2 linked regions of the Styela clava genome follow. The protein of the gene in region 1 binds, or shares a complex with, the protein of each later gene. Links are inferred from orthologs where the notes say so. Each region holds a gene or a part of one and is shown in the gene's direction. Other genes may lie near its edges.

Region 1 (3,633 bases):
CTGTCTGGAGGAGTTGGAAATTTTCTACCTGGCTTGTGCTTGCAGTAATGACAAGTAAATTATTAGATTGGGTTACTGTTTTCGCTAGCTGGCTGGTGACTTTTCCTATAATTTGCGCACAGGATGGTCAAATTGTTGTACCGAAATATACAGATAGGCTATATGATCATAATCTACTACTGGAACGGTACCGGTATGTTTCTGAAAGTTGGTCGCCTCGAAGACCATGTTTAGAACTTTTCTATGAAAATACAAGTTCAAGCTGTCGCTAATTTTGGTATGCATGCTGACATGGCCATCCTATTCGTATCACTCCGTTTTGTTATTATAAGACTTTTAGTCAAAAGAGCATTGCAGAGTTGTATCACTTTTATTCAGCTTTATTCAGGTATTGGAATGTCTGAATGTTGTTCACTCCATCGTTGCAGTATGATTATTGATGTCAAAAACATTCAATTTTACTGTTTTTCACATCGCCTTTCTTGTATTACTGTATAACTATTATATTATTACCAAGGTTTCTCAAGCTGGGGCTTCAAGCAAAAACCTTCAAAGTATTTGAGATGAATATATTAATTTAAACTGAAGTACATTTGACTGTAATTTGGTAATTCTTTTGCTGTAATCCATTTATTCTTTTGGTTTTTGGCATTTTTTACTATTACATGGCATATAAAATGATGGAAATCCGTTAAAATTAAAACTAGGTGTTCTCATGGTTCATCAGTGGGCCACAAGTGTTCAGAGCATTTGGAAGGGCGGGGTGGGGGGAGGGGCATATTGCGAAACACTGTCCTCAACCAAAATCATTATATTCTGCAAACTGCTATTCTTAAAAATCTTTTACAATTGGCAGTAATCGCAAATTTCATTCAATCTAAATTCTTGGGGTTTACCCAGTTTGCTAGCAATTTGAAGCGATTTTGTATAATAAGAATTATAATATTAGTAAACTAATTATTAAATTCCTTCTCTAGAGGTTCTTCATTATAACTTTAGGAAATACTTACAAGATGTTTACTCTCGGTCAAGAGAGGTTTTTGGAGGAATCCTCCAAGCCTCAGCCAATCATGTTCACGGCTGGTGCGGTTTCAATTAGAAATGAAAAAGGTGAAATTTCAATGAAAAAAGTAAAAGTCAAGCGATATGTTGCCGGTAAAAAACCTGAATGGGCTCCAGAATTAGATCTTGATAGAGATTCTGACGACGAGGGAGGAAAATTTGAAAATAAAAATTATGATCGAGATGATGTGGATACTAATTATGAAATGAGAGATCAAGGAGAACAATCTCACTCTCAAAAATCTGTTGTCGATAGAAGATTACAAAGACTCATGGATAGAAGTCCGACAGAACAAGAACGAGGCGATAGGTTGAGACATCGGCGCAATTTCGAACCGGAAGTTATCAGTGAAGGGGAAGATTCGGAACCAGAAGAAAGTAAACCATATTCAAAAAAAGTTACAGTTGTTGAAGAGGAAAGCAGTGACGATGAGGATTTAGATGATGATGAAATAGAAAATAGAAGAATGTTGCTTCGACAAAGAGTACAAGCAAAACGACAGACTGAAGAAGAACTTTTCGATCAAGTGCAACAGACATCAGAAGTACATATCAAAGAAGAAGAAATGGATCGAGCGAAAAGCAGTGACGATGATGAAGAATTTACTTCGGAATCCGAATATTCAGATTCCGAGGATGAAGGACCAAGATTAAAACCTGTTTTCGTTAGAAAGAAAGATCGAATAACCATTCAAGAACGTGAAGAAGAAGAAAAACTGAAAAATTCTGAAGAACAAGCTCGTAAAGTCATGGAAGAAAGAAGAAAATATACTTTGCAACTCGTCGAAAAAGAAGCTCGTATGGAGGTCGACGAAGAAAATAAACTCCTAGCAAGTGTTAAAATGGTCGATTCTGACGATGGAAACGATGAGGACGAATATGAAGCATGGAAACTGCGGGAGTTAAAACGAATCAAACGTGACAGAGATGAAAGAGAAGCTGAACAGAAAGCAAAGGAAGAAGCTGAACGATTGAGAAACATGACGGAAGAAGAACGTAAAGCTGAACTTCGTAACAATCCAAAGGTCGTTACCAATCAACTACAAAAAGGAAAATACAAATTTTTACAAAAATATTATCATCGTGGTGCCTTTTATCTTGATGAAGAAGATGATACACTAAAACGTGATATTACGAATCCAACCCTTGAAGATCATTTCGATAAATCTGTTTTACCTAAAGTCATGCAAGTTAAAAACTTTGGCCGATCTGGTAGAACCAAATACACACATTTACTTGATCAGGACACTACAGTGTACGACTCCCCCTGGAATCAAGATAACGCTTTGTCAGGCAAATTTATGTCTAATAAAGGTGGCGGAATGAAACAAAATTTCGAACGGCCTTCTGGAAAACAAAGGAAAACATAATATTTTACCTATGTTGTATTTGGTTTTAATTTGAACATCCTTGGTTGGTTGTAGGACCAAGATGGGGAGCGTAAGATTACCAAGTGGCAAACTTACGGTATAAGGTTCAAATAATTTGTTGTACTGTGCAAACGGGCTCTCATTTTTTTTTCACTTTATGGCTCCATTTCTCAAAAATGTTAGAATTCAAGAGCTTTCACTATGGAATAGAATATTTATTTTGAGTTTTATTGAAAATTTTTATCAATTTGTAAGGAAAGTCAAGGAATGAATTATACAAAATCCATTATCTGTAACCGTTGTAAAAAGATATCTCCATTACTATATATTAAGACAAAATTGTTATTCATTTTCAATGGCCATCTCTGGTATGTAGTAAACATATAGCTTTTTATCGTGGAAATATCAACCCTTTTTTGATACTGATTGACTGACTACCCGTTCATGAAGTACTTTATATAATAGCGGTTTCTGTGCACCTCAAAAATAAAGTGAAAATGTGGTATTTGGATATTTGCATTTGCAAAAAATACCCTAATAATTTGCAGATATGTAAAGCTTTACTGAATTGGAGGGTATGCCGACAGTTTACAAACTGATCGAATAAAAGCACTTTTGTATGTACGTTTCTTTATTTGTTCTAATATAAATTCCCAGGTAACGAAATAAACGCATTGTAACATGGAGTGGGGTTGCATGCACAAAGACTAACTGACCTAAAACACCAGTGCGGTGGGAAAATACCAGTGGATAAGAAAATACTGCTGGAGGTTTATTACAATTTGGGGCATGCATTGACATCCTGCGCCGAACTCGTTGGATAGGATTTACATATTTATCCCAGGGAGAGGAAAGCCGATAGGACGGCTTAACCATATGTCGAACCACGGCCTCTCGTCCTATTACCATTCCACGTCGGGTATGGGATTAGTTAGTTATTTGTTTTCGGAACCATGGACTTGATGGTGGAGGAAGCCGGAACTGACCAGAGCTTACGTGAACCGCGGCGGCGAGGAGTTCAGCAATCTTCTCGCACATAACCATCCCAGCATGTGATTCGAACCTGCGAACCCACGCAGAGTAATCGGGGGTGCGGTGGCGAGCGTATTCCTAACGCTTAGTACGATGAGCCATATCGTTGCGCAAGGGATCACAAAAAATAATCTCATCCATGCGGAGGCGATTTTGTTTCTTAGTCTGA
Region 2 (3,760 bases), on another chromosome or scaffold:
ACAGATCAGGTTGTTAACATTCAACTTTTCATAGGTCCAACTTGTCATGACAAGAGGAGATGATTTTCGAGGTGATCTCGCAATTGATGACATCACAATAGAGCCTGGAATGTGTGCCGAGGACGTTCGTCTCAATAAAGTGCTTTGAATCATTTGAATGCATCACGTGAATTTGCGATGGAAAAATGTATTAAATTTAAGCACAAGAACATTTTGTTGTATTAGTAGTATTTATTGTTGTTGAACAGACACAGCAAACTTTTCCATAATTTGTAAGCAAGTCAAACCTAAATGTAGTTGCTAATGTGATATAGTCAGTATTTCCATGAGAGTAATATTACAAATATTTACTACCCTCTGGTTTCAGTGCGTAGTCCTCGCAATGCCATTCGTAGGATAGAGATAAACGCTGTGAGTAACTAGTATAAATCTTAATAAATTTAGGCAATATAATGTATGGACGCTCATTGTACACAAAACTTCCCTTGTTGTGAAATGAGGATCCAATACGACAGTGTTCATAATTTTCAGATTGCCATTATATCTTCAGTATTTTATCTTGTTATTTATGAGTGGCCTACACTACCTCTGTTGGACCGAATTAAATATTTTCTATAATCTATAGCAAGCTTTGGGGAAAAGCACGTCGGAAAGTCCGATCAATATTATATGGCGATTTGCGGGCACGCCATAACGAAGAACGCAGCGCTCTCATAGCGCAAAATTACCAACAATCTTCGCCGAGTTACTGTCAGAGAAGGCCGCCGCCAAAGCAGGGTTGCCAGATCCCAGTGATGAAAAAAAGCCAAATTAAGACGAAAAAGGCCAACAATTTTACTAAGTAGGCTACAAAAGCCCCATGATTTGATGCTACCATGGCGATTTCCACTTCAGCGAGATGACGGGTTTAAAAGTAAAAATGATGAATTGAATGACAGCACCAGAATGTACATTCGACATAATACAGTTAAGCTGACATCCATATGTAAAAGTTAATAAAAAATCAAAAAAAAAATAAATATTAATCGGACAGCATTATTCAACAATTCAATATATACACAGAGTGCCGATTCAGTATGTGATATACCTTAAAACATTCTCCCTAAACATTTTGAAACCATCAGTTTTATTAAAAAAAATTATCGAACCACGTGCCGCTTACAGGTGTACTGATAGCTTATTTTAGCCAAAGTGACTATGTCACTTTGTACCTAACCATTGCAAAATTGTCGGTGCTCATTTTAACAGTGGTTTCGCGATTTGGCGCCTGTAAAGTGGGAACAATATGTTCTTTGAAAGTGCTAGTAAAGAATTTTAGCCTAGTCTATCACAGCTATTTCTACACTAATTTTTGATTACTGCAACTAAACTGAAACTCCTAAGAAGACAACGTGATCCTTGAATTATTTAATATATATTTAAATATCCGAAACACAACTGGAAACTAACAAATAGATTTCAAAAAACGCGAAAACGAGGTAATGTTCACCACGCCTGAAAATCTATCTGAAAGACAAAGTGTCTGAGCTGATGCGAAAATGGGCATTGTTACGTCCCTTTTTGCATCTTGCTGATTGGCTTATGTCACGAAGTAAACAAATAAGTCGATGCTCGGGAAAACACCTGCTGAGTCTTCTGTGGGCCAGAACTGCGAAATTGCTCTGAAACCATTGTAAAGTAAGGGATCCTAAATTTACCTTATTACGTCAAACGTCACTCTGAGGTTAACCGGTTACGGTATGTTAGTCGTTGCCGGTTACTGGTGTGTTTCACTGAAATTCTACTGTCTATATATTTGCCCATATGCTGGTACCGTATAATGTTAGGTTTCCTTCATGCACGACGTGAATAAAATATCTGAATCCTAGGAGATCCTCCGCTCTGTAGGATTAGTTTTTTTTTTAGTACAAAAACGTCATAAAAAATCATGTCGGGTATCTGATTACTGGAGTACCGTATGGGGTTAGTTAGCCATTCTGTGCCGTCAGACCGTACCGGTACGGTCAGACGTAAATGTCGAAATGGCAGGTAAAAAGTCTGCATTTAAAAAGTAAACATACATTTCTGTACTGCAGTGACTACAAACATCAGTAGTTCAGTGAACGTTCAGTAGTTTATAGTAGTAGACTACCATATGTATTTTAATATAGTCTAACTGAATCTGTGAGTGGTTCACAGAAACAGAGTTACCTTCTAAATTATACTGTTATGGTATCTATAGTTATAGGAAATATTATAGATGGAGGCTACATCATCTGATTATGAAGACCACAGGAAGAAATGGGACAGAGATGAATATGAAAAACTTGCACTGGAACGACTGAATGAAGAGAATGAAAAGTCTGAGGAATTTAAAGATAAACCTGTGAAAAGAGATTTGTTAAAAGCAAGAGATTATAAAGTTGATTTAGATTCCAAGTAAGGCTTTTAAAAATCCAGATTTCTTGTTATTCGATATGTACAACTCTCAGTTCCAATGCGAACATTTATATGATTTTTGTGCTTTTTGTTTTTTATGCTGAAGACTTCTGTAATGACTCAATTTTATAATTAATGGCATAAATATAAATAGAGCATATCAACATATATGTTAATAGGGATATCGTACCAGTTTCAGACTCAATTGCTCACATTTTACTGCAACTCAAAATGAAATCATTACTTTTGTCACTTGTTAGTGGTTACAATGCTGCAATGTATCGGTACTATCTTGCATATGATTGAGTGACTCTTAATTCTTTGATAATTTTGTCTATAACTGCGTTTGAAAAGTAAAGAACTCATTGGTATTCATTTTTGTAATTCTAATGCAGACTCAACAAATCTGTCGTAATCAGTAAAACAACAGCAGCTGCAGATTGCGGAGGATATTATTGCAATGTATGTGATTGTGTTGTTAAGGACTCAATAAACTTTCTGGATCATATTAATGGTAAAAAACATCAACGAAATATGGGAATGTCAATGAAAGTTGAACGTTCCACGTTATCCCAAGTGCAAAAAAGATTTGAAATGAACAAGAAAAAAATGGAAGAAAAGAAGAAGCAATATGATTTTGATCAAAGAATGAAGGAACTAAAGGAAGAAGAGGAAAAAATGAAAGCTTATAAGAAAGAAAAGAAAAAGAGAAAACGAAAAGCACAGGAAGAATTGGAAGTGTCGAATGATGACTCTGACATTGCTGCCATGATGGGTTTTGGAGGATTTGGTGGTGGCAAGAAACGATGACAGCTGGCTTGCACAGTATTTTGTGGTATTTTCAAGTACACAATTCCAGATATTGTGGTATAAAATTTTACAGATTACTTTTTTATTCTCAAATATTCCTTTGATCAGAAGTGCTGGCATTTTTAGGTATTGTTTTTTTTTTCGAAAGCATTGTACAAGCATCACAAATTTTCAGTTTCAACATTTCCTTTCCAGTTTATTATACTATACACTGGGTCAGAAGTCATATGGAGGTATAGTATTTTTTAATTCGTATGACCTATAACATTTTTATCCTAATGGAAAGGAAATGTTTCAAATTTGTGTGTTAGTTCGATTTGACAAAGCCCCAAGTAGAACGCTTCAGTGGCTCATGATAGATAAATATGGAATAATTTAAGTTTATGAATATTCAAACTATTGTATCACTGTTGTGGATGTAAATAATCTTAGCTCTTTTTTTTGGAATTGACAATGGAAATATACCCGAGTATTCTGATGAAACAGTCTTTACCAAGTAACACTTTTTTACAAATTCTGATGTTTTTAATTT

Evidence for each region.
Region 2: microfibrillar-associated protein 1-like (region 1) and zinc finger matrin-type protein 2-like share a complex: the UniProt entries of both Homo sapiens proteins name them as parts of the spliceosome B complex. The link is inferred for Styela clava from reciprocal best matches to the Homo sapiens genes MFAP1 and ZMAT2.

The regions. Positions count from the first base shown.
Region 1 is NC_135261.1:7,094,978-7,098,610, reverse strand, and holds microfibrillar-associated protein 1-like, read left to right. Parts: upstream 1-959; 5' UTR 960-1,013; coding exon 1,014-2,432; 3' UTR 2,433-3,052; downstream 3,053-3,633. UniProt on the Homo sapiens protein: Involved in pre-mRNA splicing as a component of the spliceosome.
Region 2 is NC_135251.1:24,961,485-24,965,244, reverse strand, and holds the start of zinc finger matrin-type protein 2-like, read left to right. Parts: upstream 1-1,552; 5' UTR 1,553-1,677; intron 1,678-2,239; coding exon 2,240-2,418; intron 2,419-2,813; coding exon 2,814-3,228; 3' UTR 3,229-3,760. Other genes in the region: uncharacterized protein LOC144419940, read left to right, coding at 35-148. UniProt on the Homo sapiens protein: Involved in pre-mRNA splicing as a component of the spliceosome.